3 linked regions of the Lonchura striata genome follow. The protein of the gene in region 1 interacts with the protein of each later gene in a biochemical or structural test. Links are inferred from orthologs where the notes say so. Each region holds a gene or a part of one and is shown in the gene's direction. Other genes may lie near its edges.

Region 1 (9,738 bases):
GCTCTTACAAGTAATAAATAATAATATGAAAGTAATGTTATAATGCCCTTAAAAGGCAAGATCAAAAACATATGAACAAGGAATGGGGAAAAAAGTTACCTAGCAGTATCTAATATTATGTAAATTACTGTACTCCTGTAATGTAATCTCTTCTGCATAATTGGGTTTCATGCTGAAAATTTTGTTTTCACATGGAAAGTATAAAAATTCTGGTACATGAAGTCTAGAGGTACACCTCAGATGCAATGCAGCCCCACAGTTAATTAAGCTGCTTTGTGGTAAATTTGTTCTAGAAATACAAACATGTTTGGACACTCCTTTCACCTTACTTAGAGAAGGATCCGTTAAGTACCCCAGGTATGGAACCACCTTAATACAATTACTCTGTTTCCAGTGCTGACAGGGTGCTATCTTGCACAATTTGTACATGTTTTGAGTGACCAATTGTGGAATGGGTGGAGACCTTCCTTACAAACAAAAGCACAACCTGTTTTCAGCTTCAAAGGAGAAATGTGAATTTTTCAGTAATAATTATGTATTAATTTTGTTAAGATTTTTTCAACAGCTAAGACTGATACTGATCAGTGGGTGGTTTCTGTTATTCTTTGACAGTTGGCACTAGACCAGCAAAAAACCCACAAAGAGTACACTGATGATGGAAAACTATCACACTTGCCCGTAGGTATTCTAATTTAAACAAGCAAAGTCTAATAACTTGGCTATTTGTTCCACTTCTTTCAAACAATAGATGCACATACCTCAGGAACTAATCTAGAGCCATTTATTTGGGCAATTCTCCTCTGACTCCTTAGAGCTCCCCAGTATCAGTGGAGTTTTTAGAAAGACATGGCCTGGCCCTTCTTCTGCTTCCCTCCAAACTCCAGGACACAGAAGTATCTCCCTTGCCCCAAGTGCTCAGTTCATGTCACAGAGTGACTGAGGCACATGGCACCCCCTTCCAAAATTTGGTTTCCCTGGGAAAGAAACGAGATTAGACAAGTGGCTGGAATTGTCTTTGGTCTGTGTGTTTAAAGGATGAGGACCCTGAGACATGCTGAACTGCATAGATTAGACATACCCATTTTTCAGCAATTATCTTTCTGGTTTATTATGTTTTGTTCCTATATTTAAATGAACAAAGCTTTGTTTTTTTTGAGAAATTGAGAAAGCTTTTCAGTACAAAAGTATACTCTCTCTCCCAATAGCTGTTCTTAAGCAAGAAGAAACAGCCTTATGCAGTTTTTCAAAATCTTTATTGAAATCATGTTTCACAATACATTGGGAGATGAGGATGATTCACTTTTGATACCAAGGTGGATGTCCTGCAGGTGGACATGGTGCCAGAGCTACTGCCCATAACTTGGACCATGTTTGCTCTTAGATTATATACCTGCAATAGGGCACACATGGCATGCTCAAAAAGTAATAAACCACATGGAACCAACTATTTGGGCTAGGACATCATGATAAAGAAAATGAGCATCCATTACAGTCTCATGGGTAAGATCAGGGAGGGTGCACTGACAGTGCAAGTCAGATACCCACTGGAAAAAGCTCTGCCCTGGATTACAGCAGGCTATCTTGAAAGACCACAAAGAGATAAAGTAATGCAGAAAACAGCAAATAACAACCTAGCTTTCTAGAGAGAAGAAAGCTCTTTGCAATGAGAGGAGCATTCAACATCAAACTAAAAGAAAACACTATCCTTCAGTTGTCAGCACTGGCACCCAGCAGGATTGCACTGGAAAACTGTCAGTCACACACCTGCAATTTCCATGCTACATGAATACCACAGTGTCTTTGTTCTTCAGGGTGGGTCCAGGCCTTTACTACACTGACCTCATTTCAGGATGAAGAGTGGAACACTTTGAGCACAGTTTTAAAACTTTCACTGCACTTATGTTAAAATCTCCTTTGGCTACATAGAAAATTTAGCACTTCTAAAGACGTAATCATTGGTCATTATTAAACTAGAGGTAGATTCCCTCCCTTCCTCCTGGCCCAGAAGACTTGTAATACAGGATTTTTGTGAACTTATACCCTAAACCTAAGATTTCACTTCACATATATTTAATGACCCATAGCTGCATGACTCAGCAGCCAATGGTTCAGGTAGTGGCATTCAGGAAGGTTCCAGGTCTGGCTGAATATTGGATATAGAAACAGGAGCCTCCTGAGCAGCCAGAGAGTTGCTGTTCCTCTGTATTCAGCACTGCTGCAGTTACTACCCCAGCCCCTGTGGTGCTCACCAAAGATGCTGGCAGCTGGAGAGAATCAAGAACTGGAAAATACACTGCAACAACAACAGAAAAATATACATTGTAACAAAGTTTCTGTTTAGCTTAACTAAGGCTATTATTGTGCTCAAATGATGAAAAAGCCTGTTAGTGCCAGAGTGGATCAAAACAACCTTCCCTCTCATTCCCATTTCTCCTGCTTCCTCCTTTCTCCTGTTTCCAGCACACACTCCCTTGCTCTGGCTCATGCTTGTGCTTGAGAGAGCCTTTTATTGCCAGTATGGCTCACTAACCAGCAGAAAAGCATCCATGTTTTTTGGTGGAGAAATGAGTTAAGCTTTCTCTCAGAAGAGCTCAGCAACTGCTGGAACTGGCTGAGGGCAGGAGAAAGAAACCGTAGGTGGGAGCAGACCTCCTGCCTAGGTGCTGGAAGACTGCTCAATACCTCTACTGAATGCTCTTCCTAGGTGAAGAGAAGCTCTAGGGCACTCAGCACATTTAATTGTCTGTGTGATGAACAATATTTGACAACAGGCAAAGAATTGTAATGAAGAAGGGAAGACCAAAAATTGATGCTAGATTAGTTCATACTCTAAATAAGGCAAAGGCAGGTAATTATGGTAATTGATTTATGAAAACCTCTTTCCGAGCTTGTTCTGGGATTTCTCTGTTGCTGGTACACTTTACATCATGGTTTCTGCAGGGAAGCCTCTCCAGGATAAAAGCTCTGCTTCTGATGCCTGCCCGTGGGAGAAGGCTCAGGCAGGTGCTGGACCGTGGGACAGGTGATGTGGTCCACTCTGGCTCTGATGTGTCACAGCTTGCCCATCCATGGCAGACATGCAGAACAAGGCAGACACGAGGCCGTTAGTGGAGTGTGCTTTATTACAGCAGAAAAAAAAAAAAGGAAAATGAGCAGAAAATCATACTTTTTCTCCATGAGGACAGCAACTATCAACTAATAAAGGCACACAAATGAGTCTAAGGCCCTACAAAAACAAAGAAATCTCAGGGGGAGATTGATCACTCTCTACAGTTCCATGATTGGAAGTTACGCTGAAGTGAAGGCCAATCTCTCCTGCTGTCGTTGCAGTGAGGGGACCAGAGCAAATGGCCTTAAACTAAAACAGGGAAGACTCAGACACTTATATATATATATATATATTTTTTTTTTTTTTTCACTGTACAAGTGGTCAGGCACTGGAATGGGTTTGAGAGGAATAGTGGATTTGTCTTTACAAACAAGCTGTTGGTCTGCTAGTAGATAAAACTAGCACTGAGAGATAAAAAAAAAACAATGGGAAGGATTCCACTGACTGATGAATGGAAAAGGATATTTGCTTTTACCAATAAGCTCTAGGTTTGCTGATAAATGAAATTAGACATTGAAAAATGAAAGAAACAAAGGGAAAAACCCCTAAATCCCGTAAGAATTAAAAATTAAAAGGGAGGGTTATACATTAGAGGGAAATCTTTGGTATCAGGCGTATCGGGAACTCTGTACCTCTCAAGTACCTCAGCCAATGGGGAAAGAGAGAAGGGAAATGTGGCCGGGAAAATAGTATAAAAAAGGAGGCTGCATCAACCAAAAATTTGAGATACCCCTGGGGAATGTCCCATGACCTCTCCCTTTATTCGAATAACGTAAATGGACTCCTCTGTCTCCTTTTTGGACATAAAGCTCTGATGTTTGTGGATTAGTTTTCCTGACAAGTTGTTCAGGGAGGTGGTGGAATCAGCATCCCTGGAGGTGGTTAAGAGGCGTCTGGATCTGGCGCTGGGTGATGTGGTCGACTGGTTACAGCGATAGTGCCAGGTAGACGGATGGTCTGGATGATGTTGAAGATCTCTTCCAACTTTGATGATTCCAAGATTCTTCGTGAAACAAGCGGCCAGAGGGGAGCGGGGCACCGCCGCCCCGCAGCCGCGGGCAGCCAAACCCGGCCCGGGCGGCCGCGACCCCTTCCAACTTTGATGATTCCAAGATTCTTCGTGAAACAAGCGGCCAGAGGGGAGCGGGACACCGCCGCCCCGCAGCCGCGGGCAGCCAAACCCGGCCCGGGCGGCCGCGACCCCTTCCCCGCCGCCGCCCGGGCATGCGCGGGGCCGGGCCAGTTCCGCGCCGCCCCGCTCCCTTCGCAGCGGCGCTGCCGGCATCCGGGGGAGCCGCTGCGGCATCCAGGGGAGCCGCCCCCGCGCCCCTCTCCGTGCTGCGAGCCCCGGCGGACGGCAGCCAGCACCCGCTGGGCCGGAGGTGAGCGAGGGGCCGGGCGGGTCCGCTCCCCGCCGCCCTTTGTGCGCTCCGCGGGCGGGCATGGCGGGGCGGGGAGGGGGCGCCGGCGGCCCGGCCGTGCCGCTGCGAGGGCGGTGTGGGCGCCGCTCCAGCCGCGGGGCCGCCGCTCCCCGCAGCCGGCCGGGGCAAGGCTTCAGCCGGGCGCGGGGCGCTGCCGGCCCCGGACGGGGAGAGCAGGGGGATGAGGCCGCCCTGTGCGACCGTCCGTGCGCGGCCCTCGCCTTTGGAGCGCCTTCTGGGCCCTCGCTGGGGCTCCGCAGCGCCCGCGGGCTCGGGCGTTTGTCTCAATTCTCTTTGACGGGCCGAGAGGTGCTGCGGCGGTGCAGTGACACCACGGGCCTTCTCAGGCAGGCCAGCCCTGCTTCAGGGCTGAAATGGAGGCAGCAGGTTTCGGAGCTGAGCGCATAATGAGGGCACTTGCTCCCAGGCTAATTAGATATGTATCAGAAGGCGAATGCTGAGTTACTAATGGAGAACGTGTCTTACGAAACCGCTCCTCGGTTCGTGATGTCTCAGCCTGACTGACCTTCGGGAAGTGTTGTCCTCGGTCTGCTTTAAACATGAATTTCGGGGCTCATAAGCTTCTAATTTTTGGAAGTGGGAACCAATGTTCCATTATAGTTGCCAACATTGTTACCTGCTGTACTTTTTCCACGGGCTACAGGAGGAAAACATACGGGGAGGGGGGGTGGCGGGGTTTTGTTTTGGTTTGTTTGCCCCCTCCCACAGTTTTGGCTGCTGGTATTTTAAAAAACAGCAGTCACTACAGGCTGGCCAGATTGGGGTTTAGCAGGGCCATCCTGTGTTGGCGTTCATACTTTCCGACCTGAAGAATGAGTCGGGAAGCCGTCTCCTCCCAGGAAGGCCACCGAAAGCAGTTCGGGATCACTCCCACCTTCGAGACTTCCTGCTGGCAGGCTCAGGGTGTCACGAGTGACGCCTTTCATGCTTCTCCGATCCGTGCCCCGGTACTTCCCTCTGGCAAACAGGATCTCCTTAGTGGGACGTGCTGGCAGGAGGGCCCGACTTTCCAGCCAAGTGTACTGGAGAGGGGGGCGAGGTCTTTACTGCCAGGTTTTGTGGGTCGCCAGCTGAGTTACAGCCCATGCCCATCCTTTTGTTTTCATTTCTACGTCCCTAAACGCTTGGTCTCCTCACAGTATGTGCAAGTGTGGAAATGACTGGGGAAAGTGATTCTGATGTTGGTGTAGATTTTTAAGAGAGAAGAGGAGGTTGTAGTGACTCATGATTTGTGGTATCCACTCCCTAATGCTTAAAGCCGTTACAGCACCAGCTGAAATTCATGTTTATACTATGAAGAACACTGGACAGAAGTCGTGGACAAGTTCTTCCTGCAATTAAGGGTGGTCCCTGATGGTGTCAATTTTTACTTAGAAATCTTTTTTAAACTAAATATAATATTTTTGTGGCTCTCACACTATCTAACATAGGGTATCTGTGTTACCATATGCAAAGTTATGAGCTCACTGAATGCAATTACAGTGGTGACTGCTACTCTAGCTAATTTAGTTGGAAAACCAAAACCAGGAACTGGTGAGTTTATGATGGGGGAGCCACCCCAGCAGAACCTTGGTGACAAACACTTGGGTTTGTTAACCCTTTGCTGGGGAGGGGAGGCTGAGGGGGTTGTCAAGGGGCAGGATAAACTTCTGGAGTGTTCTCTAATGTAATCTGAACAGTAGTATAAGTTTAGCTTTGCTAATGCTTTTCTACAGAAAGCACTGTGCTCCTCTTTATAAACTGGTGGAAGGTTGACTGACGCTGTCTGTGACAAGTTACTGTTTGCAGAGACTGATCTGTGGAGGAGAAATAAAGCTGGCCAGGGTGCTCTATGGAAGTTGGTCACTGGGGCAGGGGACCTGGCAGTCTCTGTGCTGATCTCTGGAGCTCTGTGGATACTAGGATCACCACCTGCAAAGTGCTGCTGTTGCATCCCTCGTCGCCCTGCCATGGGGTGACTCCTTGGGAACACACTGTCCTTGGCCTGCCCTCTTTTGCTGCCCGCTGCCAAGGTTGTGCTGACTTTGAACATGTGCCAGTGCTGGGACCAGCACCTGAATCTACCAGGGCTGCTGTAGCACAGAAGGAGATGCCGAGTTTGATGCTGTGTGTACCTTGACTTGTGTGAGTGGCAGAATGGAGGATCCAGGAACCACTTACCTGACCAAGAGCTTTGGCTTATGTTTGCTATTAGCCATTCTGGATGAGCAAAAGCATTTCATAGTTTCAGGTCGATGCTGGATTAAAACAGAACTTCAAACTGACCTTAAATGCATGTGTTTAATTGATAGTTTTCAGGCTTTAACTATGCTTGGTAGACTTGCAACAGTTAATCAAAAAAGTCAAGGCAATTAATTATTGTAATATAACAGACCATGTGTTTACAGTTTAGATCTCTGGCACATTTAGAGCATGCTTTTTTTAAGTTTTAATTGCAGTTTGACATGATGCTGGAGCTATTGGGCACTGCTGAACAAACATAAAAGCTGTTAATGAATTTAGTGTAATATGAAGAGATATCTATTGTGTTACTGCAGTATCACATTATGCATCTTTGTGTGTGGTGTTCATTTAGAAATGGACTTTGTATCTGCACTTAAAGAAGCAATAGCTCAGGGATTTATGTGATGGTCACTTTCAGTCTCAAATTTTTGCTAAATTGCTACTTTAAGAAGAACCTCTTTTCTTTCAATGAGAAAATGAATCCCCAAACCAAAAACTTTAATAAAACTTATGTATTAACAATGTTCTCAATACCTTCTGTGACTTGAAAAACTGTATCACATTTTATTGTCTTCTGGTTATGTCCCTCTCCATCCCTCTCACTAAAATGTTCCCATATACTGATGTGGAATGTTTTTTTGTGGGTTTCAAAAGTTCAGCTGATCTCAGTGAGAGTGTGAGTTAAGGAGCTCTGGAAAAATGGGATTTCCAGAAGTCTCAGGTGACTGGTTCTAGGAGAGCTGGATGTTGGCATGGTGCCTTAGAATATCATGTGAAGTGTTTTTTTTTGTTTGTTTGTTTGTTTGTTTTGTTTGTTTTGTTTTTTGTTTTTTTGTGTTTTTTTTTTTGGTTTTGCTTAGGGTTTGGGGTTTTTTTTTCCCTTTTTTTTTTTTTTTTTTTTTTTTTTTTTTTTTTTATTACTTCCTGATAAGCTGTCACAGGGGCTCTCTGAACATCACATGACAGCCAGCCTGGAATCTCTGTGTTTTGAAACTCACCACTGACTGAATCATCTTAGTTTATACAGGTCTCTTGTTGCAATTAATGTGTTGCAAATGGAGATGGGAAGCCAGGTCTCTCTAGTGGCTTCTTGTCAGATGTCATTACTTAGTTCCAGCTGAAAACTGAGCACCACAAAATTGCTTGCTGATTCCCCCTGCCCTAGCAGGATGGGAGGAGAGAATCAGAAGAGTAAAGTGAGAAGTCATGGGTTGATGTAATCAGATAGTTTAATGTGACAGAAAAGGAAGAAAAGAATTTAAATAGTTGGTACATATAAAATGAGTGATGCACATTGCCACTGTTCACCACATGCTGACCAATGCCCGTGCCTTTGGCCAGGTTTCCCCCCAGTTTATATACTGAGCATGATGCCACATGGTATCCCTTTGGCCAGTTTGGGTCAGCTCTCCTGGCTGTGTCCCATCTCAGCTCTTTGTGCCTCTCCAGCCTTCTCACTGGTAGGGCATGAGAAACTGAAAAGCCCTTGACTTAATTGTTGCTAAAAGGAGTTTATACTAAAACAATTAGTGTGTTATTAATATTCTCATTCTAAATCCAAAACATGGCATTAGGAAGAACATTAGCTCTATCCCAGCCAAAAGCAGGTCAGTGGAATATTAGAAGTATTGAAAGTGTTTAAATATTTTAGACAATAGAGTGGAAGCTTCCACAGTTGAATGTAAAATACTGTCCCTGTTGGGACAAGAGTGATTAGGTTTTCCCTTTTAACCCTTATCCTAATTGCATCTTGGCCTCCTAAAGTCTTTCTTTACTTCCTGTGAAGTGTTTTTCTCTGTGTAAGTTTTCTCTTCATTGAGACCTAAACTTTGACAGTGCTAAGTATGTTAAATAAAGCCTATTAGCCAAAGGCTGCTATTGATAACAGATTAAATGGGTAGTCTTAATGGAATTCATCTGTAGTGCCAGATATCTTTACTGCTGACTGGCAGGTCACAGAATACTTGTTTAACACTTAGTCTGGTTAATTGATTTAAAATAAAAAAATTGAAGGGGTTAAACTCAGTAACTATCTGAAAGCTAATCCTGTTGTTTGTTTGCTCTTCCATTTGATTTTTTTCTAGTCTGCCCTCTGCCCAGTAGGACTTCATCAAAATGTCTCTCTATCCTTCCCTAGAAGATCTGAAGGTGGACAAAGTTATTCAGGTATGGTGGACTTAAAAAAAGATGAGTTTTGATGACAATAATGTATCTGATATTTAATCCAGGAAAGGGGAGACGTATTGTAGTTGAGAACTTGTTTTACCATCTCACTCTGAAAGGGAAAAGACAACCTGTTTACTTTGTAGCTTGATCTAATATGATTAATGCTTATTTTACCACCTGGATATATTTATTTTGCTTTATCTATTCATCGTGTTAATTTGTCTTTAATGTGTTTGGGTTTTTTGAAGTATAGATACATGGTCTTAAGTAGACAAATATAGTCAGTCTTTTCACATACTTCAGCTCTGACTTGATGACTAAACTAATAATTCTGCTGCATCTCATTCTCAGTATCCAAATCTGTGGCAGAAAGATTTGTGGTCAATTGAGCACAAAAAAAAAAAAAAAAAAAAGCAAAGCACTGGCTGTGTCAATGCCATTTGGAATCAGATTTGTCCTCTGGCTATTTCATGGTAGTGACCAGTTCTCACAGTACATCCATAATTATCACCTTTGTGATAATTTTATGTGTGAGAATATTGGTAGTTTTATTATGTGTGAGAATACTGGTAGTTTTATTAGCTGTGGTGGGGACTAAAAGATGTCTGTGAAACAAAATAATGAAAACCACTTTAATGGATTAAAAAGTCTATGAGAAGTTTGACGTGGATGTATTTCACAAGGAGTTTCCTTATTTTCTTCAACATTTTACCTTTTCCTGAACTTAACCTGCATTCCTTCCTGGTTTAAACAACAGCAAGACGTTATAGTGTGTTTTAAGGTGTCTGATGCTTCTGT
Region 2 (9,738 bases), on another chromosome or scaffold:
CAAAATGTAGAGGTTAAAAGTGTCATAAAAGTTATTTACTAAAAGTAACTGGGAAAATCTCACAGCTCAGATGGTGGCACCGGGACTTTGGCAGTGCTGGTTAGCAGGAGGTCAACTGAGGTGCGGTCCAGCAAGTTTCTGTGGGTGGAAAGGACAGGGGGGAAGCAATGGCCTTTGTTCTTCTGAGGGCAGAGAGGACTCAAAGCCTTGCAACAGGTAGCCTGAAAATGTTCTCCCTTAGGCACACAAAATAAGTGGTGGGGCCAGGAGGAGGTGTTTTATTTTGATTTCCCTCCCCCCCATGAGAAGAGTTTTCTATCAGATGGGATAGGAAACAAGGAAAATTATATTGGCACCATCTCAGAAAACTTTAAAAGGGCAGGAAAAGACATAATGTAGGGATGCCACTCCTCACTTTGACTTAGCTTGGAAGTTGAAGTGGATTTATTTTTAAATGAGTAAAAAGACAGATAATTTTTTGTTCCTAACAATTCCTCCCTATACACAGTCTAGTCAGACAGCTCCAGAGCTGGTATCAACACTGGAGACTAAATTTATTCTGGAATCTAGGACTAGGCAGGATTTTGCTTGTGAAGCTTTACTGCTGGCAGACCATGGTCTAAGTGTATTTAGACCATTAGCAGTTAGAAGATTTTTAGAGAAAACTTTTTGAACCCTCTGTGGTTGCAATAGACAACTTGTCAGATGCTACAAAGTCTTGTGCAGTGTGTTTGTTCTGGGTGACTGATAACCTGTCTGCTGTGCTTACTGTGCTGATGAGGATTCCTCCTGTTGTGAGGAAATTTAAGTCATTTTGCAGGCTGCCGTTTGAACTGTAGCTGATGGTACTTAGAGAGTTTCTGGATTTTTTGGACTAACCTGTGTTCCAGAATCATGAATTTTGCCCTTTCCTTTCCTTTCCTTTCCTTTCCTTTCCTTTCCTTTCCTTTCCTTTCCTTTCCTTTCCTTTCCTTTCCTTTCCTTTCCTTTCCTTTCCTTTCCTTTCCTTTCCTTTCCTTTCCTTTCCTTTCCTTTCCTTTCCTTTCCTTTCCTTTCCTTTCCTTTCCTTTCCTTTCCTTTCCTTTCCTTTCCTTTCCTTTCCTTCTCTCCCTTCTCTTTATTGTCCTCTGAAAGCTGTCAGGATGCTTTAGACTGATATAAGAGTCTGGGGTTTTCTTATACACAATGTGCCATTTTGAGGCAACTGCCATTGCCTCTCTCTGTGATTGTTTCCCATTTCCCCATGGGTCTAAACAGAAAAAAGATCATGGAATTTGGTAACATATCCAAGAGACTTCATCCATCTTAGTAAATCCTGTTGCACATTCCTGAATGTTGCATATTCCTGACATCTGGGATGACCTAGCAGCATCATCCTATCTGATAAATTTACTTTCTTCTCTCCCTAAGAAATAATCTAGGACATAATCCTTCTTCCTTTTGGCCTACCTTTTCACTTTTTTCCCCTTTTGCTTCACTTTTGATTCTACATTCTACATTTTCACAGCATGTATCAGAGATCCCAGTTATCTTTTTGTTCATTCCATGGTTTGGATGAATGACTTTAACAAATGGGACCAGTAGAAAACTGGGGGAGCCACTGATGCTGTTTGCCCTGTCTTGTAAACAAAAGTCCAGTTAAAGCCTTGCCTTTGATTTGACTGACCTTACTCTGAATAGTTCTTGTCACTGTATCCCCATTACTGAGAGGGAGTTTCTTGCAATAGAATTTACTAGCTCTGAACTTGTTTCTTTACATACAGAAATCAGAATGAGGAATCCATGGGGCAGAAAGTTTGATGGTTTTTTATCTTCTCTGCATTGTCATTCCCTGCCAGTGAAACATATCATCCAATGTTTTTCACAGAGAATATCACAAAGTGTTTTGCAGATGAAGACAGTCATATAAGCCAAAGGGAAAAAGAGAGGCTGTAAGGTGATTATTACAGATTGGGGGGTAGAAGGGATAAGGAGGAACTCTAACCCACAAAAACCTCCAAAAAAACTGTGGAAAGAATAATTTTATTGAAAGCTACCAGTGGCCAAAAATCAAACAACAGAGTAGACAAATTCATGTAAATATATCCCATGTGTGGTTATTTAGGTGAAGAGTATAACAAAAATCTTCTTAGTCAATTTGGGTAGAAAAGCAAGGAATTTTGACAAAAAGCCTTAAAATTTTGAAAAAGTGAAGGTCCTCTAAGGCACTCTTAAACAGCTATAACTGAGAAAGTAGAAGACATTTCTTTTCCAGAAGAAACTGTTGCAGCCATGACTAGTTAGTCCTTCCCATATGTATTTTTTTATATGCACAGTATTATCTTTAAAAATATCTCCATTAAGAGGAGTATGTTTATTTTAGCAAGCCTGTTTATAACTGTCAAATTCTCTTAAGAAATGTAACAAAAGCTGCAGCACCATGGTCTTACTGGCATGAGGACACATTGTTCCTGAACAGTAGAGGATATGGAAAACATTTGTCCAACAATTGCAGTTGGAGCTCCCTGAGCCAAACCCTGCTCTCTTTAACTGCCCTGGAGGATGGTATGGATTGGTGTCTTTCCTTAGCTGCTACAGAAGCACAGTCCTGAGCTAAGGAGTAAAAGTAAGAATTTGAGTACTGTATTTAGGAGGACCTTTGTCCTCAAAGGGAATGATGGGGTAAGTTGAGTAATACTTGTTTGGAGCCTATCGGAGAGCACAAACTCTCATGGGTCAGTGAAGCAGAAGCAGGCCTTGCTGCAGAGCTTTTATCAAGCACAGCCCTTCTGTGCTGCCAAAGACATGCTCTGCTTGCACAGAGGCTGGATGGTCCCAGCTCTCTGCTTTGGCAGTGCACCCCAAAACACAGCTATGCTGCAAACCCCACATTCCTGTCCTTACCAAATGCATGCTGGTGTCTATTTCTTGAATCCGCTTAGCCTAGCAGGCCAGTAACAGGGGTCTCCCCACCTATGCCATTTTCTCTCCTGCAGGCAGGGTACTTTCACAGAGGAACTCCTGTTTTTTCACTGTTTAATTGAGTCTCTTAAGGAATCGCAGCAGTTCAAATGGGGATTTGAAATTTCTCCTCTTTGCTTAGGTAACACTGGACGTTTCAAAAAAAGCTGCCTTCCCCCAGCTAGGGCTTAGATCTGCATGAATAAAGCGTTTATTCTGCCAGCAAAAAGCAACGGTCATGCTGCGATAACAAATCGAACCCCCCACGCTGGAGAGGAGATGGCACACAGACACGAACATCTCAACTACGCAATAGGATCGTTCTGCAAATGTACTCGGGCGCTGCGTTTGGAGGTTTTTTCCCTTACTCTATATTTTTTTTTCCTTCCTTTTTAATAACTCCGGGCACAGGCAGCTGTTGGCATTTTCAAAGCCTGCTCAGAAAGCAGCCAGTTAATTTTAGCTTGCTCGGGCCACCCTGAGCGAGCTGCCCCCCCAAACCCCCGCCTTCCCGGCTGTGCCGGGCAGCGCGGGGGGTGGGGACCGCGGGCGGCTCCTCCCGGCCCGGCCCGGCGGGGATGGGAAAAAGTTGTTCCCAACTTTTTTTCCCCCTGGCGGGAGCTCCTCCCCTCCCCTCCCCTCCCCCAGCGCGGGCCCGCCCCCACGCGCGGATTGGCGGGCGGGCGCCGCGGGCCCCGCCCCCGGCGCGGTTTGTGAATGGGGCCGGCGGCGGGGGCGGGGCCCGCGCGGAGCTGCGCCTTTTTTGTGTGCCGGCGCGGCCGCGGGCCCGGAGCCGCGGAGCGGGCGGTGGCGGCGGGGCCGCGGGCGGAGCGAAACGGAACGAGCTGAACCGGGAGGCGCGCGGTTACCTCGGACGCACAGCCCGCAGCGGTGTCCATCGGGAGCGGAGCCCAACCGAGCCGCGGGGAGGATCGCGCAGTAATTGGATTTTGAAAGTTATTTAAGCCCTGAAGTAAAATATACGGCTCAGCCGGGCGCGGTAATAATCCATTTAGCCGTAACCTAAATCCCCGGGACCGTGTACTCGCGCAGGGAGCAGTGCCTCCGCCTCGCCGCCGCCACGGGACCCTGCGCGGAGCTGGCCAGAGCGTCGCTGGGCTACACGCGCGTCTCCTGTTTCGCTGCTACCGCCGCCGCCGCTGCTGCCTTCTCCGGGGAGAGCAGCTCCGGAAACTTTCGCCTAGAGTAGCGCCGCTACCGCTCTGTGAGCGCCGCCGCGTCGGAGCCGAGGAAAAAAGTCGTGGAGGTCCGGCGCGGAGCCGCGTTCCAGCAATGCAGGCTGGAGGAGAATGCGGCGGAGCGGCTGCCGCCGGCTGCCCCTTGCTGGGGCTGGCCGCGCTGCTGGCTGCCCTGCTGGGGACCCCCGCGGGTGCCACGGCACAGCAGTACCACGGCGAGAAGGGCATCTCAGTGCCGGACCACGGTTTCTGCCAGCCCATCTCCATCCCTCTCTGCACGGATATCGCCTACAACCAGACCATCCTGCCCAACCTGCTGGGCCACACCAACCAGGAGGACGCAGGGCTGGAGGTGCACCAGTTCTACCCGCTGGTCAAGGTGCAGTGCTCGCCCGAGCTGAAGTTCTTCCTCTGCTCCATGTACGCGCCGGTCTGCACCGTGCTGGAGCAGGCCATCCCACCCTGCCGCTCCCTCTGCGAGCGGGCCCGTCAGGGCTGCGAGGCCCTCATGAACAAGTTCGGCTTCCAGTGGCCAGAGCGGCTTCGCTGCGAGAACTTCCCTGTTCACGGTGCGGGTGAGATCTGCGTGGGGCAGAACACGTCGGATGCCCCACCAGGACCTGGTGGTGCGGCGGGTCGGGGGGTCACTGCCCACCCCACAGCTGGCTACCTCCCTGACTTTCTTACCCCACCGCAGCCACCCTCTGGCTTCTCCTTCTCTTGTCCGCGGCAGCTCAAAGTGCCCTCTTACTTGGGCTACCGGTTCCTGGGGGAGCGAGACTGTGGAGCCCCCTGTGAGCCAGCCCGGCCCAATGGGCTCATGTACTTCAAGGAGGCAGAAGTGCGATTTGCCCGGCTGTGGGTGGGCGTGTGGTCTGTGCTTTGCTGTGCCTCCACCCTCTTCACCGTACTTACCTACCTGGTAGACATGCGTCGTTTCAGCTACCCGGAGAGGCCCATCATCTTCCTCTCGGGCTGCTACTTCATGGTCGCCGTGGCCTACGCAGCAGGTTTTTTGCTGGAGGAGCGGGTCGTGTGTCTAGAGCGCTTCTCTGAGGATGGTTACCGCACTGTGGCCCAAGGCACCAAGAAAGAAGGCTGCACCATCCTCTTCATGATCCTTTACTTCTTCGGTATGGCCAGCTCCATCTGGTGGGTCATCCTGTCCCTCACCTGGTTCCTGGCTGCTGGCATGAAGTGGGGTCATGAGGCCATTGAGGCCAACTCCCAGTATTTTCATCTGGCTGCCTGGGCTGTGCCTGCTGTCAAAACCATCACCATCTTAGCCATGGGGCAGGTGGATGGGGATGTACTCAGTGGGGTTTGTTATGTAGGTATCTATAGTGTGGACTCGCTGAGGGGCTTTGTGCTGGCACCGTTGTTTGTGTATCTCTTCATTGGTACTTCCTTCTTGCTGGCTGGCTTTGTGTCCTTGTTTCGCATCCGCACCATCATGAAGCATGATGGCACCAAGACGGAGAAACTGGAGAAGCTGATGGTGCGCATTGGTGTCTTCAGCGTCCTTTACACAGTGCCTGCCACCATTGTCTTGGCGTGTTACTTCTACGAGCAGGCCTTCCGTGGCACCTGGGAGAAGACATGGCTCCTCCAGACCTGCAAAACGTATGCTGTGCCCTGTCCCAGCCACTTTGCCCCTATGAGCCCAGACTTCACTGTCTTCATGATCAAGTACCTCATGACCATGATTGTTGGGATCACGACTGGCTTCTGGATTTGGTCTGGCAAAACCCTTCAGTCCTGGCGACGCTTCTACCACAGACTCAGTACCGGCAGCAAAGGCGAGACGGCGGTATGAGACCCCCCCTGTCCCCTCTGGCACACACACTCTCACACAAGCATACACGCAGAGGAGACGGATACTCAGCATGGGAGGGCAATGGTTCCCTGAAGAGGGAGGAAGGGAGGCTTTTCCAAACTTTTTCTTCCTCACAGAAAATTTGAAAAAAAAAAAAATCATACCATAAAGGATCAGTCAAACCACGTCCAGTGGTGCTTATGAGCAGCTAAGTGGGAGAGGACAGAAAAAGAGGCAACTGCTGGGACAGGAGTCCTTCACGCAGAAGTCTCCTTACTTCTCTCCTGCTGCTCCTCGAGGAAGAGAAATTCCAACCCAACTAAAATCATCCTGCCTTCCTTTGGACAAGAGAGAGGGGAAGCCAGATCTGTTGAGCCACCCCTGCCAAGAAGTAGCCAAAAGCTCTTTGAATTGCCGGGGCCAAACTGCAGCATGGGCAGGCTAACTCCCGAGCCTGAGCTGGCTGCCTGCTCCTTCCAGCTCGGCAGAGCCATCACGTGAGTACCGCACAGCCGGCTACAGCCCGATCGTGTGCTGGGGAGATGCCTCTGTTCTATCAGCTCACAAGTTCCTTTTTACCTCAGCGATACCTCTAATTGTTGTAATTGTTTTTAAGTAAAAAAATTGGCTCTCAGTCTGTTGTTCTTGCTGCTGTGGGGAAGGAGGGGGTTGCTATTCCACACCCTGAAAAGAAATGACTTGTTGCTTTTCAGCAGAAGGCTTTTCCCCCTTGCCTTTGTTCTAGGAGACAAAGGGGGAAACAAAAGTGTTTTCTATGTAGAAAGGCATAAGCATGGGATCGGTTTTTATGGGCAAACTAACAAAAAGAAGTCGTTGAGGTTCACCCTTGGATGTGAGAAGCTCACAGAAATAAACATTCCTTTTATGAAAAAAGGAGGAGGCAGGATGTTTTCCTACCGTTCAATATGGGTCACTTTTCTAAGCTGAAGGAAATGCAAGATTTAGAGGGCAAGAAGAGCTTACCTGAGAGCACCTGCCAAAACAAGAGCCACTAAAATACGTAATGTAAAGATAGTATTTTTTTCTTTCCTTCCCATAAACCTGCTTTCTCTCCTGCTTTGCAGTGAGCTCACTGCAGAAAAAAAATCAATACGCAGCCGGATTCTGGGGACAGGAGGAATCGTTTTGGCTCACGATGGACCCTTTGCCTGCTCCTCATATTCCCTGAGCTGCATGGCAATGATTCTTGGTGCAGGTGGGGGGCTGGGGTTGGGGTTTAAAACCAAGTAGTTACTGCAAGTGAGGAGCCTCCTCATTTTGGCTAAAACACAGCTGTTTGAGTTTCCAGTGATCAGTCTTTGAAGGAAAAGCATTCAAAAATTTTATCATCAAATGCATTGTTTTCTTTTTGAAATGTGGCAGATTTTTCTATTCTGAAAATTTTTATGTTGACTTGTTCATATTTTATTTTTTGCATACTACTTTACCTTTATATTCACTGAAGGGTTGTTTTTATAAGTATATGTGTGTGTGTATATTCTTGCCTAAGGACAAAATAGGACATTCTGGATTTTTGGCAAGTCTCCACCCTATAGCTGCTCTTCATGTTTTTTGGGGGGGAAGTGTCTAGAATTAAACTTTAAAAAGAAAAAACCTGTCCAGGGTGAGGGCGCAGACTACTGCTGTCTGAGGGTGTACCAGTAGTCTGAGCATGAGGAATGGGCCCATCAGCTAAATCCTTCAGTAGCTCTGATGTCAGACTTGCAGGGCTTGGTTTGTCTTTTTTAATGTGCACGTGGAAGAAAAAAAAAAACAAAACAAAAAACAAGTGTGTGAGACAAGTGCAGTATGTATATTTTGTAAATCTCATTTTTGTAAGAAAATATGTATTTATGTTTTTACTTGATTTTTTTTGAAGGTCTGTATGAGGCCCTGCTTCACCCCATGTACAGATCACTAAATAAATAATTTTTAATACAAGGGCTCTAATGATGTTTTTTTTCCATCTTTGAATACTTGGCAGGTTTTAGAATGGGGGGAAGCTCTGAAAGTCGTGTCTTCTCCCCCACTTCATTATGGATAATGCAAGAGACTTTTGGGTGAATGTAGGCTGGAAACTCAGCTGTGACTTGAAACTACCAGCCCCTCACAATAGGAGAGCACATTTTGAGACAGCCGGTTTCAAATGTCTGCCCTCACTTGAGGTACTTGCATCCTAGCCAAGTTTTCTTCCACTCTCTGCTTCTTGCTGAGGGCAAGCTGATAAACCAATTTCTTTATCTAGAAAATAAGGATAATGCTCTCTTCCCATTCCAGAGACTTTGAGAACTGGAGGGTGCTATGAGGGCTGTAAATTAGGTTCTTCCTTTGACGGGTGGAGTGTAATAGGGAAACGCTAAGGACTAGGTTCCTTTTTAATGGCTTTCAGCGGGCAGTATCATGAACTAGTGCTTTTTTTCCCATAGCACCTTTACTCTCTGCAGTTTTATTCAAGTGAATTTTACTTTAATTTTAATAGCTAGCCTGAAGCCTACATTGTTTCTTACCACAGTCATCTGAAAGCTTCAGCGGAATGCTCTATTTCATTTAATTTTTTAAACTGAAATGAATATTTACATCTCAAGCTGTGTTGCTAAAGTCATGGAAAGTGCCGCAACAAACAGAATTGTACACACATGAAATGATACTTTACAGCATTTCTTTCACAAGGATTGCAGGCTACCGTCTATATTCATCACACTTCCTGTACTTTCAGTTATGCCAATACTAAAATTTAAGTTATAGAACAGAGATAGATCTAAGATGCCTTAGCTAGATGCCATCATAGTAGCTGTGGTTGTACTGCAACATCGTTTCATTTACTAAGCATAGTATGTAATAGTTCCACTTTGAGGGCTCTATTTTATTTGGACGCTGTGCTCTTGAACTTAACCTTTTACTTTTACAGTGTGTGAACTACTGATTCAAAAGTTCTTTTAAGAGCTAGCCCCATTCATGCTGTCTTTCTGGAAGAGCCATATCTTTTATTTGAAAACACCTCTTGCTGCTCCCCAGAAATGCTCACTTGTCAAGTTTCCTTTTTGAAAAGACTTTTGCATTCCTGCCAGTCTGGCTGCTTCAAACTGCTCCATGACATGAGCTTGCTGATCATTTCTGAGGGGGGTCTCATTCCACTCACTGAGGAAACCTGAACCTTTCTCTAAACATTTCCTCCCATTAATCCAGAGTGATGGAAGGGCTGGAACAGCCTGTGCTGTGAAGGACTGGGAGCAGTGGTGTGACTGACACCCCTGTGCTGTGCACCACAGCTGCATCACTAAACATGCAATCAATCCTTCCTGCATCACGGACAGCTACAGTGCCATCCATGCTGGGGGCCTGTCCCACAGCTCTCCACTGGCCACCCAGCCCCGCTTGCTGCATGAGAAACCATTCACTAAAACTTTTACATTAATTTATAAATAGCAATAATATTTTGTAAAAATAAACAAAAAAGTAAAAAAACCCTAATTAACAGGGCAAAAACCCCTAATTTAAACTACCAATAAATAAAAAAACATTAATACTGAAGTAAAAAAACTACTTACAAAATAAGTGATTGTTCACATGTGATTGCTATTTTTTTCTCTGTATGTGGAAAAACTATATAGAAAAACTATATAGACTTCTTTATGTTCATGAGACATTTATATCTAAAAAAAAATGTCTCTATTTCCACCAGAAACCACTAAAGTGGTCTGCTTTTATTTCAGCATTTCCTATTAGGTACTTCTGGATTTAAAGTCACATATGAAAAAGTATCCAAATCCTGGGATTTAAGAT
Region 3 (9,738 bases), about 15 Mb from region 1:
AACAGCTCTGGTCAACACCACCTTGTCACCCACTGCAGTGTGAGGCCCAGGGCCGTGCTTTGGGTCAAACGTTCTCAACCACAACTTCTATTACCAAACAAATCTTAATGGAGAAATGGCATGATTAGGAACTCTCCTCCCCATGTAGATCTCTTTCCTTAGTGCTGCTGGTTGTGCAAGTCACCTGCAGGATTGGCCATGAAAAAATGAATGCTTGGGAAGCACTCAGAAAATTGTGATACACATTCATCCTCAATTGGTGCCTTGGCAGCCATAGGCTGAAAACTTATTCCCAAGATTTCCCAACTTACTTTTTGCACAGTTCCCATGTATTTCTAACTATGACTCTTCCCTACAATTCCAGTAACTCTCTCCTTGGGAGAGACTGAAAACTGTATTTTCAAATTTGTTGGACATCTGAGTCTTCTGTAGTTGATAGCCCCACAGCACACGCTATACATGAGATCTTCTTGCATCCTTTCACCATATAACATATTTTGGGGGAAAAAAATGGCCTTTGTTGAAGTTTGTCCCTTAATCTCACCTGAATCCCACTCCTGCCTGGTTTGACTCAATGTTGGTGTGGTGACTGGGTGGCTTGTGCCCTGCAGGGCTGGAGGGACCCAGGGTGACACAAAGGCAACACGGTGAACACTGCCTGACAGTCTGTGTAAGAAATGCCCAGGCCTGCAGCTACTTCTCCATGCGACCACATGTGGGCTCTTAATGCTGTATGGTGCTCTCAGATAGAAGACTCAGAAGAGTGGGGAGGGAGTAAGCAAAATACAGGACAATATTTTGTTATGTCTGTGAACTACAAGGGTTAATAGCTTACTATTTTTTAATTCTCATGCTCATTTCTATATTTTCAAATAATCTGTCTGGCTTCTGGTCTTTAGTTCTGCTCCTTCTAGCATTAATGTGTTGTGTCTATCTTCATATTTGGCATCAGACATCATCCCCACAGAGGCTTAAGGATCTGGAGGTTTTGCAGGTCGTAGCCCCAGCTCCTTCAAGAACACTGCCCATAAGTACACTGGTGGACCACGAGGAGCCCACTTGTTGCCATCATCTATGCCTAAGGAAGGCCTTCTCTTTGCTTGTTGCAGATGGTATTTCGATCTGTGATAGATTCTGCCAAGTATGTAAAACCCTGATAATCATGCATTTTTACATAGAAATAAAGCTGAGCTTGGTTTGTAAGTTAAAAGACATGCCTGTTAAAGAATGCTAAAAAAAATGTCCAAGAATGCTAAAATAAATACCCTCATGTAGTAAATCACCTGCCCTTTGGTGTCTGGTGACCCTTAGGATGCTTCCCATATGCAGTGTCTTTGTCTTCACATTTGCTCTTTTATGTTATTTGTTTCAAAAGTGATGTTGTTTTCCTACTGTTAAGGAATGCTTTTTCTGTTTCTTCTTTGCAAGCTGCAACCTCTTCATCTCTCCCCTCCCTGCACACTGGGCTGCCTGTAAGACCCCATGAGATCCTATGTGAGATTTTGCCCAAATGGAGTTTTGCTCACTTTGCTTCACTGTACTTCACTCACCCACATCTAACAATGCTCAAATTGTTGCTTAGTCGACTTGAAATCTGGCTGCCTACAAAGGAAGAGGATACACAGAATTAGGTCTTAAGTATTCGCAACATACTTTGAAGGAGAAAGATTATATTAAGCAATCTGTTTAATATAAGGAACACATTAAACAATCTGTGTGTGTGACGCCAACAAGGAAAAGACCACTGAAAATCTGGTAGGATTGCAGTGGGGAATGCAGCCTAAAAATCAATGACATGGCATGTCCAGAAGGTGGATCTAGAAGTAGCAAGTGTGGTAACTGCCGAGAGGTATCACGTTCCTGGGAGCGGGTCGCACACAGTAAAAGCAGTCCAGGCATGGCCAGCCCCTCTCTGAGGAGAAGGGTCCTGCTGTTTCCCAGCACAGACTCAGCCACTGCGCCCACACTGCACAGGGATCGCTAGGGTTGTGTTTGCCTGGGAGAGGCTGGGAAAGTGATGAGTGGGGTGAGACACTGCTTGTGCCAGATTATTTTATTTTCTTACGTGGCACGCCTATTTTGACAGGAAGGCAACCAGATTGGCAAAGGCCGGCAGTTGGGATCTCAACACAACCCGTTGGCCAAAGTTCTTCACAGAGCACAGGGTAAGCAAAGTGAAGGGCATGGAAAAACATCTTCCCGGGAAAAACATCTCCCCAGGGTTTCTCCCTGGGCTTTTGTTGCCCTCACCGGGACCCAGGTCCTCTGAGAGAGATGGATTTTGCTCAAACAAAAGAGACCATTATGGTCCTTGTGACCATTTGATTCAGGCTATAAAACACTGTTTGCTACCTTCTGACTTAAATCGCCAGTCGAGTTTGCAAGTGAGACTGATATATTTTGCTTTCCTGGTTATTGCTCCTTTCCCATGTCCAATGACTGATATCATGTGAGTACACGTTCAGTGGTGGAAACGTGCTGGCATATGCGAGGGGATCGGGCTGAGGCTCCTGAGCTCTGCAAAAGCACCATTCTCCCCAGTTGAGAAATACCATGGACTAGTTGTAGCAAGACTTCTTGTTTTGGCTTCTGGAGCACACATTCTTGGTGCTGTCAATTCTTGTAATATTTATTTTGAAGACATAGCTTCTGGATCCATGTAACTAGCTACAAATCGCAGCCCTTTCTGACTTCGCCGCCCCTCACCCTTAAAAGTTTCTAGTATTCTTGCTGGGGGCGGAAACGCTAAAAAAAAATGAAACCCGAGGCAAAAAGCTAAGGGATTCACAATGAGCTGGCATTTTCGGGATAGCCCCGCTTCCCGTGATTTTTGACCCCTCCATTTTGCTTTTTTCCTGACACTTGAAGCTGCCACCGAGGCTTCCCGAGGAGGGTGGCGCGGAGCAGCGGTGCGAACCCCGGCAGCACAGCGCTAAAAACACGCGGCCGGATTTCTCTTGCTTAGGGGGAGCCTTTCCACGTCCCCGATTTTATACGGGGCCAGCCTTCCCTTAGTCGGTCCAGTCGGTCCGCGGCGCTGCTCATGTTTTCCACTGGGGCGGGGGAAAAGAACGACAGAGGGGAGACGAGGGCGGAGGAGAGAGAGGAGGAGGAGGGAGGGGGGGGAAAGTTGCTTGAATTTGCGAGGGGCGAGAGCCGGCGGTGGCGGCGCGCTGCTTCTTTCCACTGGCTGGGGGAGCTGCCAATCTGTGTTGTAATCCTGCAGGAATTTCTGCGGGGTTTAACTGGGAGCCGCGGCGCCGCCGCCGCGCACTCGGGGCGGAGGGAGGGCGGCGGAGCCGGCAGCGCGCAGCCTGCAGCCCGCGCGCCCCAGCGCCGCGAGCACCGGGCCCGCCGGAGCGGAGCGCGGAGCCCCCGGCAGGAGCGCGGCGGGGACCCGGGGCGCCACCGGCCCTGCCCCGCGCCCCTCGGGCGCTGCCGAGCGCCGCCGGCCCCCGGTTTCTCCTTTGTGCCCGGCCCCCGGCGGCCGCCGCGCCGGCTCCGCGGGAATAATGCGGGGCGTGTGGCTGGCGCTCACCGTCAGCTTCGTGGCCTGCGCCTCCGGGCAGCCGGTGAGTGCCGGGGCAGAGGGGAGGGGACGGGACGGGACGAGGGCGGCCGCCTCGGCTGCGGCAGCCAAGCGCGGGGCGCGCAGCCCGAGGCTTGCCCCGTTGCATCGCCGTCCGCGGGGCGCTGGGCTGGCTCGGGGGGGCATCTGTTGCTAGTTGAGCGGTCTGCAAATGGCAGGCACCATTCCGTCCCACCCACCAAAAAAAGAATGAGAGACACCCCCTTCCCTCCTCCCAAAAAAGAAAAAACCCCAACCCCCCCCCCAAAAAAAAACCCAAGAAACAACAAAACCCAGAACACCCTCACGAAGCCGAGAGGACCACCCTGCCGCAGCGGAGCACCGTGCCGCCCTCCAGCGAACCTCGGCCGAAGTTTGCCGCGGTGACCCAGCCGCCAGCCGGCCCCGGAGCCCCCCCGGTGCCTCTCTCCCTGCCTCTCCGGAGGAGGGGCGGCCGCGGGGCCGCGGCGCGGGGCTGGGTCCGGCAGCGGGGACTTGAAGCCCGTCCCGCAGCAGCGCCGGGAGCCGCCGGGCCGCCCCGTGTCCGAGCGAGCGCCCGGGGACATCGCCGCCTCCCCGGCTTCGCGGGCCGTGCGGCGGGGGCGTCCCTTGCAAAATCCACTCCTCACGGCCCGTGGCTAAAAAGAGAAAAAAAGGCAGCAAACCCTGCTGCGCTGCTCAGGACCTCCCAGACCCCTCGGGCAGATCGCCTTGCGGGCTTCCCGGCCAGCCGCCGGTCCCGGCTCCGTGGAGCCCGAGCCTACTGCGCACCCGGCCGCCCTTCCCCGTGTAGCTCGCGAGCTGCTCGGGATAATGCTGCTGTTTACACTTTTTCCGTGCCACGAGTGTGTTCGCTAACCGGGCCCTGTGCTTAATGCAATTAGCTCTGTTGCTGGGATTTGTACCTCTGGGAAAGCCTCTCTCTGGCGAACCTCCCACCCTTTCGTGGCAGGAGCCGGCGAGGACCGGCCAGAGGGTTTTGGTCTTTTCCATCTGTGGATCTGAGCTTGTCTTGAGGGAAGGAGTATGCACAATGACAATAATGCAGTGTTTGGGCAAATATTAGGAAATTATAAACTGAGGTTTCAATATGAAATAAAAAGAAAGAAAAAGACAATTTAATCCAATTAAAATGAGCCGCTTCACTGAACTAAATAACGTCACTAGCTTGGGTTAACTTTTGAAGTTCTCTAGCTGTTGTATAAATTAGCCAAGTCACAGCCTTCATAAAATCTGGCTCACCATTAGGGATTTCTAAGGGTACAATGGCAAAACACTTTCTTAAAGACTGATTAAAAAAGGGTTGGGTAGAACACTGACCTTTGTTTCCGGTAAGTATAACTGTGCTGCAGAAACACCCTTGCCTAATGAGCTACAATATCCTTTAATTTTATAGAAATGCTGTTAGTACGAAGTTCTCTGACGGTGGAGTAGCTATTAAACTGCCACAGTAATTAGCAGAGTATTAAGTTTGATGGGTTTTTGCCTTAGGATGAACAGACTGTGGCAGTGTGAGGTGGGTTGTTGGGGCACATCCCCGTGCGGTGTGGTTCAGGGGGCAGTGGGGAGAGCGAGGTGGGGGGAACCTGCCTGGCTGTGCTGCAGCGTCCTTACTGCTGCCAGAAAGTTGTGGAGGGGCTGAAAAAGTAAAAGGAGGTTGGTCTTTTTCCTTTTCTTTCATCTCCCTTCTTTTTCCTTTAACTGCACCTGGCAGCAGCTTCATGGTCCCTTAAGATAGGATTTTGTAGACCAGTCTCTGGGAAAAGACAGTCTGTGTTCTCTGCAGAAGTCTGTCCTTGTCACAAGAGGAATTCTATATGGATGCTTTAAAAAACCCTCCCAGCTCTCCAGACCACTGTCAAATGGATTTAGCTCTAAATTTCTTCATGTTTTTAGATTCTACTATTTATTATCATTATTTAGACAAAACTATAAGGTAAAAATCTTGTTTCTGATGAAGTTAATTCCATGAGTCTTCTGAGCAGAGGAGCAGGAAGCTGCAGGAGATTTTGTTTCTTAAAGCAATGAATTCCCTGTGTTTGGTCCGCATCACCAACCAACACTTTTATTGGGGTGGGCCAAGGAGATGTTAGCACTGTGTTAAGAATGTCCTGGAAGTGAGACCTGCCGCCGAAGGACGACGGGAGTGGTTTGTCGGTGCTGGGTGCGTGCTCTGTGCGCTGTGTGGGCTGTCGTGCCGCAGCTGTGCTCTGCCGTGCCATGCCAGCTCCCTCGGGGAGCAGCTGCTTTGGGACAGGGCTGAGATGGAGAGCGAGAGAGGGAGCCCAACCTGCTAGTGCCAGCCTGCACATGGTGGCAAGTGTTACCGCACCAAAGCTGGTGGATTGCAGCTGGGGCTTGAGGAGTGGTTTGCTGCCATCAGCGCAGTGTGCAGTGAGATGTCAGATTACAGTGGGTTCTGTTAACCTATGTGGGTCCCAAAGGACATGGGGCATACACCCAGGCTTGGCTGAATGGCAAAAAATGTGTTTTCTAGCTACCTTGAAAGTTTCTTCGTTTGCTTATAAGAGAGGGAAAGACAGTGACATGAAACTGTTGGAAAGAAAAAGAAAACTGAGTGAGAGGCCTGATGCACCTTTTAAAAGGTTGAGCCCCTGAGCCCTGATGATATTGGGAGCCAGCTTTTGCTGATTTTAATAGCACCAGAGAGCAGTGCCAAGTATCCAGCTGTAGTTGTCAGGTCCCATTCAGAAGAGGCTGATAAATGTTTCCGTTTCGTTCTAGTTTGCAGCAGTGGGACGAATGGTTTTCCAGAGCTTGTGTGACAGTCAGATCCTCTCTGCATGCCCAAGTGCACATTGAGAAACTTTGCTGGCTAGCAGGTTGTGTTGCATACTGCAGTGTTACGGTGCTGCTCTTCTCACAGAAGGTTGAGTCCATCTCTCCCCGGGAAGCTTTTGGAGTCTGGAGACTGCTTCACATCATCCATACATGCATGTGGGGCTAGATTTGGGACTTTCAGTGAAACAGAGCATTGGGGCATCACCTGAGTGACCTTTCGGTTTCTTGTGTAAGCATATGACTGCTGAGTTGTTGGCATAAATATAATCATTGGAAGATGATCCAAGGGTGATACTTGGTATATTTTTCAGAAGTATATAGTATTTGAGAATCGTAATGCTGTAGTTTTCCTACCTTTGTTTCTAATGGTTACTTTGGTTTTGGAATTTGGAAAATTGATAGTGTGTTGGAGAGAAGGACTGTTTTTTTGAAAAAGGCAGTTATATTCAGAGGTAGTAAGTAGTGGAAAAAAAGGGCTGAAGAGATAGCTGGTATATGATAGATTTATATGCTGTATGTGTCTCTCCTATCTGTCTTAAATTTGCTTTGTCAAATAAGTTCCAGTGAAGGAAGGAAGTCTTTTCAGTCTTTATTTCTACCCACCTCCAATTCACATGTACCTTTTCTTCTCACTGTAGAATTAATAACTGTTCATCCATTGCTTTTTGTGGTTTGGTAATACCTGGAATCTGCTATGTCTGCTTCCCTTGCTCTGACTGAACTTCTGGGTTCTCCCTGCACTGCCATGCACTGGAAATTCTGGGATTTGCTACCAGTCTTGGGTGTTCTCAGGAGCCACTTTTTGGAAATCGGTTTCTGTCCCAGGTTAGATTATAATTTAAAAATTAAAGAACAGATGAATCTTGACCCCAGATCAAACACTGAAGTTCCTTCTTTTAATATCTTAGCCCTGAGGTTTGCATTAGAACTGATTTAGTATTGAGGCCTGAAGTGCAGAGATGTTTTCTCTGCATTTTTTCCTAGATCCTTATCAAGGAAGTATATGAGAGTATCATCTTCAGGAGCAAGTCAGGACAAATATCTTAGGATTTGAAGTTGGGTGCTGGTATTGTGGTTCTTGAGCAGATAACACCTCTGTGGAAGGTTTGAGGTAGTTACTATAGCTAATGGAATAAAGATGGTAGACTTCGGAGAGTGTGCATTAAGTTTGGAATTTGCTTGGAAATTGGATGGATCTAAGTTTCTGTAGTCCTAAATTAAGTGTAATTGCAGGATGACAAGATAAAGGACTAATTTTTTGACTAGTAGAGGTGCAGGTTATGAGAAGTCACATGTCAAACATGCAGCCATGATCTAATGCCTCTGGGAGGGTGGGGTGGATGATGGAGAGCTGCCTGCCATCCTTGGTGGGGAATGTGGCATTTTGGCAGTGCTTCTTGAGCTTGGAGAAGACCCTACTGAGGAGCCAGTCATTTGCAGAGTTCTCCATTGGCACTGCTCTTTGTGGCAACTTGTCTTTATAAAATGTCAAACATAGGCATGTGGATGGCATTTATTCATTACATTTTCTCACCAAATTGACTTTTGCCATTGAGCAATTTAAACATCTTGCTTATGGTAGAGAATTGCAGGCTTTAGTAAGGCTCAATGGCTGAACAAAGAGCTCTTGTCTAGTTATGAAGAAGTGCTCTTTTGTCTTATGAATAGATTTGACAGACTATGATTTTTAACATAAATGTTGTGTTTGAGATTGGCAAGCTTATTTGAGGCCTCGTGTAACACCCTATTTGAATCTGAATCATAAAGATGCCCTCTGTGCTGCTGCATTTGAGAGAGGATGCACAAGTCATGAGCAAGAGATTTGGTCCACATTCAAGTCACTTCGCCGTCGGTGCTGTAGGAAGCATGAGAAAATTACTGGAGGCTCTTCTGTGAACAGCTTGTTGTTTGGTTATCTTCAGTTCAAGCTTACAAGATGATAATAAATTGCTATCTATAATTTTTCAGGACTAGTAATTTATTCATAGATTATATGACACTCTTCAATGATTTGGGAACATTATTTCTCCTGCTCACATTGAAGTATAATTTGCAAGCTCTGGAGTACAGATTGCATTGGTGTTTGACCCTCTAATAATGACAGTTCTCTGTATGTATGTTGTTTTCTTGATTAGCTCAGCCCTGGGGGATGCTTTTAAAAGCATACTAGATATTTAGGCAGAAAAACAGAATTCATGTAATCCTCAGAAGTACTGGAATACTGATTGCACTGGGAGAAAATGTAGCATTTAACAGCCATTTGCAACAAGTGCATTTGCGCTGAGCAAATTATTTTTGTTGATGTCTCAAGCAGGAGTTTTATTTAAAGTGAAATAATGACTAATAGGGTGGTGATGAATCTGCAGAAATTGGCCTTGTCCGTAGATAGGCTATTAGAGTGTAGTATATATAAGCTCTGCTTAACTAAAGCCTGAGCTGGCTGCTCCATCTTAAATCACTATTTTTAGTTTATATATAAACAACTTCTTCAGAAATCTCCCTTCTAAGCTAAATTGTTTTGTTCCCAAGGTGAATTGATTTGGGGCAGTTAAAATAAAAACCTGTTTGGCTGTGTTTGAGTTGTGAGGGTGAAGATAAATACATTGTACTTTTATTAATAGTAAGGAGACAAAGAGACTTACAGAAGGTCAAATAGCCTGTGGTATACACAGGCACAGAATCAAAATGTTCAGAAGCCAGCATTGTGATTAACAACCAGAATATATTGTCTATATTTAAATATTATGTTGTCAGACATCTTTTGTCAGACATGGTTTGATTAGCCATAATAAAGCATAATTTTCTCTAGAGGTGCTTCCACACTAATGGAAGTCACTTGTCACCTTTGAGATCAATGTGAGGTGACCCATCCTTGTTATTTGAAGTGTATTTCAGTCTGTGTGGACTGAGAGGACTGACTCTCACAGAGATGTAGGAAAGAATGCTGCTAAAGTAATACAAACACAGCCTGGGAGATTAAGTACTTCCCAGGGAGCAGTTGGGTGCATGACCAGTGTAGCCTCAAGACCAAGGATGCTTCAATAGAGAACAAAAAAATACATCATACTTGCTGCCACAAGAATGAATAACCTAACCAGGCCTTCCCTTTCCCACCTTCAACAGGATCTCTTCTTGTATGTCTGCTTCTGTCCTTCCATTAACTATACAAGTAGAAGCTTTCCTCTTTCTCTGGGCTGAGCTATATTAATTCCAGCTGTGTTGATTCTTCAGTATCTGCAGGAGTAGCTGGCTGGACACATTACCTGAAAGGTACAGCCTGAAGGGTACTGCCAAACTCCCCCACCCACGTGATATCTTTTGGCTTTAAGAGCTGAGTCCTGTTTGTTTTTTGGACTGGGGTCTGCAGG

Evidence for each region.
Region 2: the proteins of SDCBP (region 1) and FZD7 interact in a biophysical measurement, tested with the Homo sapiens proteins (2 studies listed by IntAct, with this or other methods). The link is inferred for Lonchura striata from reciprocal best matches to the Homo sapiens genes SDCBP and FZD7.
Region 3: the proteins of SDCBP (region 1) and SDC2 form a complex in vitro, tested with the Homo sapiens proteins (3 studies listed by BioGRID and IntAct, with this or other methods). The link is inferred for Lonchura striata from reciprocal best matches to the Homo sapiens genes SDCBP and SDC2.

The regions. Positions count from the first base shown.
Region 1 is NC_134603.1:38,158,479-38,168,216, reverse strand, and holds the start of SDCBP (syntenin-1), read left to right. Parts: upstream 1-4,335; 5' UTR 4,336-4,491; intron 4,492-8,858; 5' UTR 8,859-8,889; coding exon 8,890-8,940; intron 8,941-9,738. UniProt on the Homo sapiens protein: Multifunctional adapter protein involved in diverse array of functions including trafficking of transmembrane proteins, neuro and immunomodulation, exosome biogenesis, and tumorigenesis.
Region 2 is NC_134610.1:26,827,993-26,837,730, reverse strand, and holds FZD7 (frizzled-7), read left to right. Parts: upstream 1-3,985; 5' UTR 3,986-4,233; coding exon 4,234-5,955; 3' UTR 5,956-7,896; downstream 7,897-9,738. UniProt on the Homo sapiens protein: Receptor for Wnt proteins.
Region 3 is NC_134603.1:23,336,489-23,346,226, reverse strand, and holds the start of SDC2 (syndecan-2), read left to right. Parts: upstream 1-3,401; 5' UTR 3,402-3,512; coding exon 3,513-3,572; intron 3,573-9,738. UniProt on the Homo sapiens protein: Cell surface proteoglycan which regulates dendritic arbor morphogenesis.